Linked DNA regions of Alligator mississippiensis. The protein of the gene in region 2 interacts with the protein of the main gene of each other region in a pairwise test. Links are inferred from orthologs where the notes say so. Each region holds a gene or a part of one and is shown on either strand. Other genes may lie near its edges.

Region 1 (7,205 bases), on a different chromosome or scaffold from region 2:
CTTCCTCCTTGAATGGTGCAGCACTGGGAACCCCTGGATCTTTTCGGGGCTTTTTGTTTCCACGCTTCTTGGCTTCTTTCCTGAGTTTTCTCTTGTGTTCCCGTACCTGTAATCAAGAAAGAATATATATTGGAATTCAGTTTAATAGGAAAAGCTAAATGCCTACATATAAGTATGTGGCCAGAGAAAGATTTTTAATTGCAAAATCAACACGCATGTAGCTATAGCTAAATTAATGAATCCTAAGTATTACAAACTTAAAATTCAAAAGATCTACAGTATTACATCATCTGTGCCACTGCCCCTCCCAATGAAGATCTGTTCTTTACAATATACTTGAAGGCAATTTTCAAGCACCGTTCAGACTCCCATATCCACTTAAAATAACCTCTACTGCAATGATTCTCAGCCAGGGCGATGGGACACCCTGGAGTACTGCCAGATCCTCTGAGCATTCCCTCATGATAAGATAAACTAGGTAGATTAACTCAGGCTCAGGCTAATGCCGATCTAAGTAATTATCCCACCCCCATGTCCCAGCCCCTCTGCAAGGAGGTAAAGACTAGAGGTGCACTGATATATCAGTCGCATATTGGATCAGCACTGATAACAGAAAAAATAACATTATCAGCCTTCAGCTTTTTTTTGGCCCATAATACCACCAATAAATGCTGCGTGCATGTCAAGTACTGGGCCAGGAATGCAGCCCTGAAGCTTGGAGAGCAGCATCCTGTTGGTAGGTTGGGGGGGGGGGGGGGGGGAGAAATCAAGGCCCCCAGGGTGAGGGAGGGATGGGTCAGGTGCTGCCCACCCAGGGTGGCGGATGCAACCCCAGGGCGAGGCAGAGCCGTGGGTAGCTCATCTAGGGGGTGCAGAGCAGGGACTCCCCCCTGCCACTGTGCGCACCCCTAGGGGGAGGCATGAGGGGCATGTGCCCCCCGAGATTTGTGCAGGGGGTGAAGATGGGCTGCCCGCTGTGCACTAGGGTTCAGCATCTGCACCAGCCTCTTCCCCAAGGTGGAGGCTGGGCCAGGGCTCCACTTGGGGTAGGTGGGGGTGGGGTGGGCTCAGCTGTGCGGGGCAGGCAGCAGCAGTGCTGGGAAGGGTGGCTATGGGGAATTTGGGGATGGCCATAGTCCCCAAAGTCCACTCTCAGTGCTGCTACCTGTACCCCCACAGCTGAGCCCACCCCACCCCACCCCACCCCAGTGCAGCTCTGGCTCCAAGCCTGCAGTGGGCAGCCTGCCCTCGCCCTGCATACAAATCTGGGGCAGCACATGCCCCCATGCCTTTCCCAAGGGTGAGCACAGCGGCAGGAAGCCATCCCCCCCGCCCTCTGGAATGGCAGTGCGTGGCTCCACCACATGCCCCAGGGTTGCATTCACCACCCTGGATGGGGCAGCACCTGCCCCATCCCTCCCTCACCCTGGGAGCCTCAATTTCCTTCCCCACCCAGGCTTACCAGCAGGAGGCTGCTCTCTAAGCTGCTGGGCTGTATTCCTAGCCCCATGCATGCCATAAACACAGAATTTATCAGTGACTTTATCAGCCAAAAAAAATGCCATGCCAGCATTTCCCCCCCCACAGCATGCAGCCTATTGCTTGTGCTGGTGCAAGGTCTGAAACCCTCTGCTACTTAGAAGACAGCCCTATGTTAGAGCTCTTGATAACGCAGCACATTAGAAATACCTCAGATCTGGGGGTCCAGACCCCTGGAAGGAGTCTGGCAGCGCTGAGAGAGCAGGTTGAGCTCCATGGAGCTGGTGGAGCCACTCAAAGTGCAGCCTGGCAGCAGGAGGCAGGGAGATCCAGTGGCAGAGACGCTCTGAGCGTAGCCTGGCAGCAAGAGGCTCTGCAGCCCCACAGAGTTGAGCCTAGCAGCGGGAAGGAGGGGAGAGCCACTGGCCAGGGCTGCGCTCAGAACAAAGGCTGCGCTCAGAGCAGCTCCACCACTGGCTCTCCTGCTGCTGGGCTGAGCTTCGTGGGGCTTGCGGAGCTGCTCGGAGTACAGCCCTAGCTCTCCCCCACCTCCCGCCACTGGGCTGCTTTGAAACTTGAAACATTTTGGGTGCCCTCATTTCATTTCAAAGCCTGTTGTTTCATTTCGATTTCACTGTCCCAAGCTAAAAGGCGCCGAAACAGCTTCAAAATAAAACACCAGTTGAAATTTTGGACAGCCCTACTGAGCCCCACTGCCCTAGACAAACAGTGGAACCATGAACATGTGCGGTGTGAAAGAACTAGGAGCTGCACTACGGGGCCCCAGCTGGGGAACGTGTAGGTGAGTGCTGAACAGTGTACAGCCCTCCCCTGCAAATGCAACAAGTCTGTTCAGGACTTCGATGTAGCTGAACACAATGAGGCTCCACGTAGTGCTTTGCAGCCCAAAGCCCTCGGGAAGCCGGGCAGCGAAGACCTGGCCTGAGCTTTCCTGCTTGCCTTCCCCCTCCCGCCTGCCTATGCTGTGCTTGGGGCAGAAACTGGTCCCTTGAATCCGACCGCTCCCGCTTGGTGACCCACCTTCCTCTGGATCTTGTACCGCTTGTGGCAGGTCAGGCGCTTGCTGCCCTTCCGAAGCTCTGCAATCAGGACACGCCATTAACAGAGGGCAGACGAAGGCCGCCGCCTATCAGCACCCGATGATGTCGCGGGCCACGGGCGCCCGAGTGTGGCCGGGCCTCGGCCACAGGTCTTGGGCACGGAGTCCCGGCCCCACGTTGCTACAGCCTCCGATTGATCGCGACCGCCCGGCCTGGCCCGGCCCCCACTACCGCGCGCCCCAGTCCCGGCCCCGCCCGAACCTCCCACGGCCACGGCCCCCAGTCGCTGGCCCCTGCCACAGCCTCGCTCCCGCTCCCACTCCCGTTCCCGGGCCGCGCGGCCAGGCGGCGCCAGCGCCCCGCACTCACTAGGCCTCTTCATGGCTGCTGCCGCGCGCTCACCCCGCGTGCAGGCGGCGGAGCCGAACCTGGCGGCTCTGCCGTAAAGCGCACCGCCCGCCCCTTCCGCGTCCCGCCCCTAGGCGCTGCACGGGTTGTCGCGCTGGCGGGCTCGCTCGGCGGCCGGGCGGGCTTTACGGCAGCGGCAGGGTCGGTGGTGAGGGGCGACAGCGGCTGTGCCGGCAGGGCGGCAGCGGTGGGCGAGTGCGGCCGCAGTAGCGGGCGGCAGAGCGGAGCTGCCTGGGTGGGTGAGGGAGTGAGCGGTGAGGTGGTGCGCCGAGGCGGGGCGGGACGGGGCGGGGCGGGGCGAGGCTGGGCCCGGTAGCCGGGAGGCCTCTGCTTCCCTTTGTGTGGCCGCCCTGCCCGCTCGTGGCGGCGGCGGTGCCCGCCCTCGCGCGGCGACCCCCCGCCCCGCGCCACGGGACTGCCGAGGGCCCCCCGCTGCCGGCCGCGCCGGGCTGGCCCCGTGTCTTGAGGGGCGATTCCCCCGCGGGAGACGCGTTGCCGCAGTGCTTCCACGAGGCTCCTGCTCCGGCCGGGGCGGTGGCGGGGGCTGTCAGCGCAGGGAGAAGCCCCGCCGCCGCCGGGAGCCTCGATGCCCGGTGCTGTCACGCGGTTTGCTGTCGGTGGCCCCGGGATGGGCAGGCGGGCTCTGCTGCCGCTAGCGCAGGTGACAGCCGGGGGCTGGGAAGGGACCGGCCGCGACGCCTTGACGTCTCCGGCGATGTGAGGGGTCCGGTGCACTCTGGCGATGCGCGGGGTCGGGGCGGGCAGCAGGGTAGAGCGCACTTGCCACGGCTGTGCAAGGCCCCGAAGACGTGCGTGGCCCCAGGGAAGCGGCGCTTCCCTTCAAAGTTTGTTCCGTCTTGTCACAGTAGTGCCGCTGCTGCCGGAACCTGCCACGGGAGCAACAGAGTCCTGCAGCGTTTGGTAGGAGAAGAATTAAACTGGGACAAGCCTCTGTTTTGTGTACTTGTTATCTGTCTTGTACACTTCTTTCTCCAAGGCTGAGGAGACAACTGTGCGGCCTAGCTAACTTCTTTCCTGCTTTATCCTCTGAAACAACCCTCTGACATGCTTTCCCAGGTTACAACACAGTTTTAGTCTTGTCAGTAATGCTGCAGGACAGTATATGGTACATTCTCTCCCCATCATTTTGTTGTGTTTGTCAACTATCTGTTGAATGGTTTTATAGAAATCCAGGGAACTTTCAAAAATAGTTTTTGTGGCATCTATATACATGCTTTGATTAGCTACTCTGAAGGGTACGTAAAAATTTAGACTTTTAAAAAACACTTTTCAGCTCCTTTTAAAAATATTTTAAAGATGTGTAGAAACAGTATTCTTACATGGGGATTACTTTTGATAATAGATGTGTGGGACCTTAATGGAGTACATCAGAATATTACATCCTCAGATATTGTTAGAAGAAATTATGTTTTAGTATTAGGAAGAGAAATTTTCTTCAGTGACTGCCTGTAGGTGGGGTCTTCAGGTGCCTAACCTTTTAAAGAAGTTTAAAAAAATATAATGGCTAGGATTTACTAGTATTGTATAAGTGGTGTGGAGATGCTGTACTTGAATCCCATCAGATTATTTTATAGTCCTCAAGATCCTTTGCTTCATATAAGGACCAATTTTCTAGTGGAGATACACTAGTACTTGGTGCATTATTCAAGGATACATGAAATATTTTGATTCCAAATGATAAAGTACTACATACTAGATGAGTAAAAATCATTTTATTCTTTTTGGTTCTTTGAATACAGTTTTTTTAGAAGAACAGTTTTAGAACAGGTATTCACTGCTGACAAAACTGTATAGATTAATATTTTCCATGCTGGACTTGATACACTTTTGATTTTAGTAGATCTGTGTTTAATCAAGCTCATTATTTCATGGTATGATATGTTGAAAATCTGTCATGCAATAGGGATATAGCTGAAGGTTTTTGAACGGGGGTTAAATTAAGGCTTAATAAAGTAGAATCAGCAATTTCCGGAGAGTCTTGATGGTGTGGGTCATTGCTACAAGTCTGCCTAGTAACTTAGGGTTGTAAGACTTTTTTTTTCTTCTTTTTACTGTCACTGTACTACTTTTTTATAGTACCATCAACTTACAGTTTCCACTTACTCCCTCTTACACTTAGGCTACTAGATGAAGTGATACTTGCATTACTCGGGCTAGTGAATGGCTCACATTATAGTAGCATTTAAACATTTTAGTTAAAAGTTCCAGAAATGTATATGCTTTGCGTATGCAGAAAACCTTTAGTTTTTGATAACCCCCTCCAAATTTATGTTTCCTCTTTTCTCCAGCCTTTGTGATGGCTTTTCTCAACTGTTATTCTTAAATTCTTTTTCTCTCTACTCTCTCCTTTTAACCTTTCCCCTCTTCTGTTTTTTCTCTCATTTTTCTTCTCTTTCAGCTTTGGCTATTAATGCAATTGCTGATTTGACATTTTCAAAGACTTGCCATCTCTTAGTACTTTAACCTGACCATTGGACACAATGAGGAGACTGGCTTTTCGAGGTGCTGGTTGTACTCTGGTAAATCTGGTAAATTATTGATCATATACACACCCTTCTTCCTTTCCCCTGCCTGGCCTTTTATTTTTCTTTATCTTAGCCTTAGTGAATCCAACCTCATGCTCATTCATCTTGTTTGTTTACTTGTAATGAATTGTTCACTGGAATAAACATGAACATAGCTATGTCACTACTTCACCTTATATAAACTGTAGATTATATAACAGAAAAATACATTGTTAAAGTGAAAAGAGCATGGGTGACACTGGAAATATTTTTTTTGTAATAGTGACACCTTGCCATTAACATTTTGGCAGGATCCAGCAATATGTTTCATAGTAAACTCAGTAGTTGCTGGATGCCTAATAATTTCAGTCAATAGTGATGTTAATAAATTCAGACCAGGGACAAAAAGAGAAGACTCCTTGAGTGATCCAATTTGCACTCAGTCCTAATTTTCAAGTGAGAATGATGTAGCTTGAGAATGCAACCAAATTTACCTGTATTGTGGCCCAAATCCTTTGTTTGTCTGTTTGTTTTTGTGATTCTGGGACTAGATATTACATAGCAGTTGTGATTTTACTCTTAGTTGCATTAACTGTATGTTTTGGTTTTTAGCTTATCAGAGTTGTAAAACTATCTCTGAACTTCTCATGTATCATGACAATACATCTTATCATTATTTTGGAATGAGGAGTCATAAGCTTTTATAGTTTAAAAAAACATCCTAGTAACTGCTAGATAATTGCAGCACTTTGTGCAAGTCCCCAGCCCTGCAGGGATGGGTAGCAGTATATAATTCAAAATGTATTTGATTCATAGAATCATAGAAAATTAGGGTTAGAAGGGACTTCATCTAGTCCAGCCCCCTGTTCAAAGCAGGACCATCCCCAACTAGATCATCCTAGCCAAAGCTTTGTCTAATCGGGTTTATAAAACTTCTGTAACCTGGGAGGTACACACTTCCAAGGTTGGAGATTCTACCACCTCTCTGATAACCTGTTCCAGTGTTTTACTAGAACACTAGTGAGAGAAATTTTCCTAATATCTAACCTAAACTTCCCTTGCTGGAACTTGAGACCGTTGCTCCTTGTTCTATCATTGACCACCAGTGAAAACAGCCTAGCTCCACCCTCTTTCAAATACCTCTTCAGGTAGTTGAAGGCTGCTATTAAATCCTCTCTCAGTCTTCTCTTCACTAGACTAAATAAGCCCTGTTCCCTCAGTCTTTCCTCATAAGTCATGATCCCCCAGCCTCCCTCACCATTTTTGTTACCCTCTGCTGATCTTTCTCCGATTTGTCCACATCCTTTCTGTAGTGGAGTACCCAAAACTGTACTTGGTACTCCAGATGTGGCCTCACCAGTGCTGAATAGAGGGAAATAATAACTTTCCTTGACCTGTGTGCAACAGTGCTATTTTATAGACTTAAACCACTAATGCAACTCTGAAAGTTTACTTAATAATAATCTCATTAGGTAACAATGCATAAGTAAATTGTTGCAAATGTTCCTGACTCTATATACCCTTAACTGATAGTCAGTAGTTAGCTGTCACCAGAAAACTTGTGTACAATGCCTTAAGTTTAAGAACATCTTTCTTCATTATAGAAGAAGTTGGATTCCATGGGTTCCAAGAGGCGAAGGGCTACTTCTCCTTCCAGCAGTGTCAGTGGAGGAGATTTTGATGATGGTCACCACTCAACAAATACACCAGGCCCGAGCAGGAAAAGGCGGAG
Region 2 (7,269 bases):
CCATACCACGTGCCCGGGCTCAGCAGCCAGGAAAACATGCGGGGACTCTACGGGGACATGCAGGGACACCCCCCTGCTCCCTCTCCCCTGGGGCAGCCCAAGCCCAACCAGCAGGGCTCCCTCCCTCCCCCGGGCCTGCAACTCACGACCCCCAGCGCAATGCCTGCGGGCGCAGGGGGATGTGGGAGCCGTGCCAGCTTTCCGCCCGAACAGCCACAGCAGCAGTGGCAGCAGCATCTCCTGCGGACCCGGCCACAGCATCCCTCCAAGCCGGCATCCGCGCCCCGTGAAGCCGCCTCCTGCACAGCAACCTGCTCCAGCCCGCGCAGCCAGCGGGGACCAGCACAGGGCAGGGCTGGCATGCAAATGAGGAAGGGAGGGGAGGGGCTAGGAAGGGACACCGTGAAATGAGGGGGATGGGGAAGAGCCACACCACATCAGCAACGTCTAGCTGAAGTGGGGCATGTGGGAACCCAGTCCCTTCCCCAGCCCGTCAGTAGCCATTAGGAAGCTGCTGAGAGGCTGGGCGAGGGACAAGGGGTAGAAACAAAAGTAAACAGTGTTTACTTTCATTTCCTGTCGAAGCACCTCTGGCTTCAGAAAATGGCTTGGCGGGCTGCATGGCAGCCCACAGGCCATATGTTGGACAAACCTGTCATAGATCAAGTAAATTTGTTGGGAGATGGATGCTATTTTAGGAACAAGGATATACATAATGCAGATAGTTACAAAAAAGCAAGCAGAAGCTAGATACCAGAGGAAAACTATCCTGCCTTTACCTGTATGTAACAGTACCTGCATGGATGTGTTGACAAATGAAAACACATGCATTTCACCTCATTTGCTCTCTAGAGTAGATCTGTGTATTTCAGCTGGTGGAACAGCTAGCCAGTACCAGACAAGATCTGTATCCAGGGATACTTGGCACATGGCTTCACTTGTATCCGTTACAAGATCTAATTAAAGCTATTATTTGTTTTCTGGATGACCAAGCTGTATACATTTTACGTGGGGGTATTGTAGATAGATGTGCGCATTAAACACAACAACTATATATGTAATGCAAGTCACTAGAGGTACATCAGGGGGGCTGGGCTACACCGTGCATGGGAGGAGGCTGCAGCCACCCCAAATTTCACCATAGCCCTCCCCAATGCCCATCAGTTACTGGTACTGGCCCCCAAAATCAATATCAGTGCACCCCCACAAGTTACATATAACATGCAATACAGAGAACCTCCATTTTCCTGTTGAGAGCTGAAAAGCAAACTGGTAGCCACGAACTGATAACTGTAAATTTTGAATAAGCTATTTGACTGACCTATGTAAACCCAGGAACAACATGAAGGACCTAAAAAGCCTTTTTTGCCACTTTGTTTATTCATTGGACTCAGAAACTTTTATTACAAAGCCAGCAAAATATCTGTTGGCACATTACCCAGCCACTTTTAAACACCATTTTCCCCCACCACCTGCATCCCCTACACCAATCTAGATCCTCTGGCACAAATTGACCTTTTACTCTAGCAAATATAGAACTTTTACTAGCTTGCAACTTGCTCCCTTTTCTTCCTTTTTAATGTCAACCTTCCCTTCTGATATTTTTCTGAATATAGAAAAAAGTGACAGACCCGAATGATGGTCACTTGTTAAATGCATTAACTTTTTTCTCTAGGACCTCTCTCCTTGCCACTGGATGACTGCTACAAGTTTTCTACTTGCCTCTCTCTCTCACCATTCATTTCCCAGCCACCTGAGGTACTTATTTCTTTGCTTTTTTACCGTTTTAGCCATGTCCCCATCAACACTTATCTATTCACTGCAATCCAAATTCCAGTTTTCTAAGTAGACAGGAAGTGACCTGCCCTATCCCTCTTTCTTCATCTTCTATGCTAAAAAATTTCAGGTGCAGGAGTGGGCATTAAAGGGCACCTGATGCCCAAGCTTACACAACAGCTCTCCCAAATGTATATTTGGGTCCAGAAAAAAGCATCACAGAAAAGCCTTACTCCTACAGCTCTTGCACCATCGTGGCTATAACAGTGTTCCCATTTCAGTATTTCCCCGATTTCCAACAACCATCCACTGAAATGAGGCCACTGACCCCAAAAAGCCCCAATGAAGACCTAATTCTGGGCAACCAACTGGGGCAAACCCAAGCTTGTGAAGCAGCCAGTGCAAACTTGTTCACATCTGGGCACCCATCAGCAAAGTCCAGCAACAAGCTATGGAGAATTGTTGCTGGCTTCAAGAACTGGGCTGTGGTCCCCAGATCCTGCAGCAAAAACCCTCCCCTCAGGCCCTCCCGCCCAGCCCAGCCCTACCGTCCTCAGCGACAGCTGGTGTTCGTTCTCTTCGTCGTTCACTTTGAAGTGGAAGTCCTTGTCCGCCTTCAGCTCGCAGCCTGGGGGTAGGAGAGAAGAAGACGTCACAAGCTCGTCTGGGACCACGAGCTCACCCCTTCCCCGCGCGGGGCTCGAGACCCGGCCCGGCCCGGCCCAGCCCAGCGGCGCCGCCTCTGCAGGCCACGCGCTTCGCGGGGCTTTCCCGCGCCAAAGAACCGCCCGCAGCCGCGGTAGCACCACGGCCCCCGTCCCCGGAGCCTGCGGCGATGCCAGCCCCGCCTGCCGCCGCCACGTGCGCTCGGGCAGGAGCCGCCGCCCTCGCGGCACAAAGCGCGGCCGGGCCCGGCAGGGGCTGCAGGCCCCGGCGCCGCCACGTGCTCGCGGCCGCCACGTGCGGGGGGGAGGGGGCGGCGCCTGCCGCACGAGCCCGCCGCGCCCGCCCCGCCCCCGGCCCAGCCGCGCGGATGCAGCCGCCGCCGGGCCCGACCGCGCGGGAAGCAGCCGCAGGGCCCATCGGCCCGGCCCGCCCGCGCGTTACCGAAGAGGAAGGTCTGCGGGCGCAGCGGGCCCATGCTCTCCACGTCCATGGCGCTGTCCTCCATCTTTTCGGCGGCGGCAACGGCGGCGGCGCTGCGCCCCGGACGGAATCGCACTGAGGGGGGAAGCTTGCGCGCCGCCCCGCACTTATAGCCCGGAGGTCTCGCGAGAGCGGCGCCGGGCCCCGCCCCCGCGCGACCCTCGGCGCAGGCGCCTGGCACTTCCTGCCCCCTGTCCTCCCGCCGCCAGGCCCCCGCCGGTGGCTACGTGCATCAGCCCCGCGCTCGGGCGGCCCCGGGGCGTCCGCGCGGCCTCTCCCGGGGCGGGGGCTCCCGGGACTAAGCCCGGCCTGCGTCTACGTCGCGGCCACCGGAACCCGAGACACAGGGAGCCCCGTAGAAAGGCAGCGCAGGGCGCACGTGCCGCAGCTGCCTTCCAGCTGCCCTTTTTTTTTTTAATTATTCTGAGACGATTCTCACGGCGCCACGCTCGGCCCCACCCACACCGCTGCGAGAGAAAATCGGTCTGGCACCCTGGCTTGTGCCCTGGGAGAAGAGGGGGGTTAGGACATGGGTAGGTAAGCCCCAGCACGACGCACACAGCCACGCTGCTCGGCCCACGCACCTGGGGCACAGGCAGGGGAGCTGCGAGGGCCCCGGCCCCTTGCCCACCCTCTGCCTCAAGGCCTCGAGCACCCGCTGCCAGCAACAAGCTGGGCCGGGGCTCTGCAGACCCCAGCACATCTGCTTGCAGCTTGTCCACTGCCTGCTGCAAGCAGCCCCGTGGCAGAGGCCTGCCCAGAGCCTGGGACTAGCTTGGCAGGCAGCCGGGAGGCTGCACACAGCTGCACTGGCATCCAGAGAGACCTGGCCCAGTCTGCACATGCAGTTTGGGGCAGACAGCAGGGAAGATGTCAGGGCTGAGCTGCCACAACAAAGATTGGGCCCGCTGCAGCTCCCCGGCTGTCCATCCCTGCTTGCCAACATCTTACAGGTTGCTGGTGTCTTTGGCACTCTGCCCAAAAATGTTGCCAACCTCTAGTTTAGGAGATGATGTTAAAAGGCAGAGGGGGGTTACGAAAAGGATACATGGGGATGAGTGATAGGGAAGGAGCAAGCTTTTGGAAGTCATAGGCCAGAGGGAGTAGTACCTGAGGGGACATTGGAGTAGGGAGTGTTGTAACACTAGTACCTGGTAGCCACATGGGACTTCTGGCCCTAAGATAAAATACTTTCCCAGTCTCCCCTACATATTATCTACAGGGCTGTCCATGGGGAGTGGTTAGCCCCACTCATTTCAGCACACAGCAGAGTGAGAGGAGGCTGGCACTTGAAGGGGTCTGCACCCTTTGCTCTATATGAACCAGCATTTGGATAAATCATGCTACTCTGGTGTGGTTCAGGTCTCATCCATGCCTCCCCAGTGAGCCGACATCTGAAAAACACTTCTGAGGAGGAAGCTGAAAGCATGAGGAAGACAAACATTTTTGCTAAACTTAGGTTCTGAAGCACTCACTGGAGGGAGATGGGTGAAAACACCCACTGAGATGAATGGAGCACTTCACACATTTCACAACTGTTGTTTCAACCTGTATTCATATGCATGGATTTAGTCAGTACAGAACATCCCTTTTTGTGAAGTGGCCCATTTAGCTCAATGCGAGCATCTCTGCTCTGTATGCAAGTTCTGCTCAAGTGTCAACTCAGCCCACTCTTATTTGCTACTACTTGGAGATTTTGCCTGCCTTAAAGGCATAGTTTCTCAGCCTGTGGTACATGTACCTCTGGGGATACACAAGGCACAGGCAGGGGGTACACAGGCACCAAAACCCCTGTAGTAAGGGGGCGCCACCACTCCCTCCGCTGCCACTGGGTTCGCGTCCAGCTGCTTGCTGCCCCCACCTCCCCAAGCCGGCCACAGGCACACACATACCCACGCACTCCCCACTGACTCAGCCACAGGCAGGTAAGTTTCTTTATCCTGTCTGGGCTTGGGGGGGGGGCAAACCCACACAATGCAGGGGGGAGTACAGTAGGGGCAAGGCACTTCCCCACTCTCCTGCACTGTGGGAACTGCCCCATGACCTGGCCTGCCTGGGGCCCAGTTCACTCTGCGCAGGAGGGAGCAGGCTGCCACTGTAGGCTGGGGCTAGTGGCGGCACCGGGCTCTTCCCGGCACTCAGGGCGGGCTGCGGTGATGGGGTGGCAGCAGCCCCCCTCCCAAAATTCACTGTAGCCCTCCCCAAACTGCCCTCCAGTGTCATCACTGAACACCGGGAAAGCCTAGTGCCACCATCGACTTCAGCCTGTAGCCAGCCTGGGCTCGGCAGCTGCAGCAAGCAGCTGCACCGGGCTCTGCACCTCAGAGCAGACAGCAGGGGAGGGTTGCACTGCCTCAGACCCTATCCCCAAGTCTCTGTTCTGAGGCACACACACAGTCACTGGAATGGAGCAGATGCCAGGGCTGCAGAGCCCGGTGCAGCTGTTTGCAGCCTGCCCACTGCGGCTGCCCAGAGCCCAGGCTGGCTACAGGCAGGGGTCAGGGGTGGCACTGAGCTTTTCTCTGCGCTGCCTCAGGGCCCCCCCACCGGCTGCTCTGCTCCAAGGCACACAATGGTGAAGCCCAGAGCAGCTCTTTGCAGCCTCCTGGCTGCAGCCAGCCCAGGCTCAGGGTAGCTGCTGCCAGCCACAGAGCCCAGGGTGCTTGCAACAGGACTTGCAGCCTCCCAGCTGCCTGTTTGGAACAGCCTGGGCTCCATGGCTGGCAGCAGCTGCCTCCTTGTCAGTCTCTCACCCTCTTTTCCTCTCAGAAGTATGGCAAAAAATTTGGTGTGCCGCACATTGTGTGGCGCTTTAAATTCCCTAGTAATAATTTGGTGTGTCGCACTTTGCGTGGCACTGGGCTCAGCCCTCCTAGCTTTGGCCAACATCACCTCTAGCCCAGGTACATACTTAAGTTGTGCAACCCTGGTGTAAAAGGTGGCAACCCTACCCACACCAGATCAGACATCTGTCATATCACAGCCCTTCTTCCAACATATGGCACACATTAGTCTGTAAATATAAAATCCCCTGGAAAATTGAGTGTTGGAATACTTATTTAAGAACTTTCAGAAGTTAAGGGGTAGTTGCTACTCAAAAGGTTGAGAAACACTGCCTTAAGGAACTGAAAGTTAGCCTACTCCACAGAAAGAACACTACATCTGTTAAGATTTACCCTAATGTACATAAACCCACTTAGCCTAACGTGCATAATGCTACCCAACATTATACTCTCGCTTTTCTGTCATTAAATCGTACTCCTACCTAACTTCTGATGATCACCTGGACAAAACAAACTTGTGCCTTTTTACCAACACAACCTGCACAGTGCAATGCTGGAGTGAGGTATACTGGAACTTTCAGAAAGCCTTCTGGATACTTGACTACTAAACAAATCCCCCCCCAGCTCTTATCTAGTCTAAACAATCCTAGTTTTTTCAGCCTTTTCTCATAAGTCATGTTTTTCAGGCCTCTAATAATTTTTGTTGCTCTCTGCTGGACTTTCCAATCTGTCCACTTCTGTCTTGGAAGTGTGGGACCAAGAACTGGACACAATATGCCAGATGAAGCCTCACCAGTGCTGAATGTAGTGGAACAATCTCTTCCCTGAATTTGCAAGAAACACTCCTGTCAATACAACCCAGTATATTGTTGGCTTTTTTGCAGAGAGATCACATTCATTCACAATTTACGGTTTATTGCAACTCCCACCCCCAAGGTCCTTCTCCCATATATTCCCCAAGTCCATATTTGTTCATGTAATTATTCCACCACACATGCAAGACTTTAAATTGAATTTTGTTTAATTAATCATGGACCACTTCTATTTATCCTGATCATTCTGAACCCTAGCTCTACCATCCAGTGCATCTGCAGCTCCACCCAACTTGGTTTCATCTGCAAAATTTGCTAAACTTGCACTCAGTCCCATTCTCCAAATTGAGAATTTCCTTTTTATTGCTTTTTACATTCCTTGCCTGTTGCATCTCATTAATATATTTCCCTAAAAAGGTAGCATCCTGGGAATAGGAGGTACTCATCTTCCCCTCTGGCTTCTTGGTTCCACAAGTGAGATTTAAGAAAAAGTACAAGAAGTGTAATTTAATCTCCCCACTCCTTTCTTACCAGTTTTGATCAACAGTAAAATAACTGACAACAGCCACATTTGCATGACATTTCATCATTGGCATCCACATTAACACCCTGCCAAGATGAATGAATATAGGTTGTTCACAACTCTTAGAACTAAGTTTTTTAAGCTCACATAGCTACATCACAAAATCTAAACCAGATATTAATCTAAGGGCTAATCTAAACCAAAAGGTACCACCAGGGTAGCTACCTTG

The links. The genes of interacting proteins can lie anywhere in the genome.
Region 1: the proteins of NPM1 (region 2) and GNL3 interact in a two-hybrid assay, tested with the Homo sapiens proteins (2 studies listed by BioGRID, with this or other methods). The link is inferred for Alligator mississippiensis from reciprocal best matches to the Homo sapiens genes NPM1 and GNL3.

The regions. Positions count from the first base shown.
Region 1 is NC_081835.1:38,676,479-38,683,683, forward strand, and holds the start of GNL3 (guanine nucleotide-binding protein-like 3), read right to left. Parts: upstream 3,001-7,205; 5' UTR 2,923-3,000; coding exon 2,910-2,922; intron 2,580-2,909; coding exon 2,521-2,579; intron 107-2,520; coding exon 1-106. Other genes in the region: PBRM1 (protein polybromo-1), read left to right, coding at 3,535-3,609, 7,078-7,205. UniProt on the Homo sapiens protein: May be required to maintain the proliferative capacity of stem cells. Stabilizes MDM2 by preventing its ubiquitination, and hence proteasomal degradation.
Region 2 is NC_081832.1:47,798,260-47,805,528, forward strand, and holds the start of NPM1 (nucleophosmin), read right to left. Parts: upstream 3,008-7,269; 5' UTR 2,948-3,007; coding exon 2,884-2,947; intron 2,405-2,883; coding exon 2,325-2,404; intron 1-2,324. UniProt on the Homo sapiens protein: Involved in diverse cellular processes such as ribosome biogenesis, centrosome duplication, protein chaperoning, histone assembly, cell proliferation, and regulation of tumor suppressors p53/TP53 and ARF.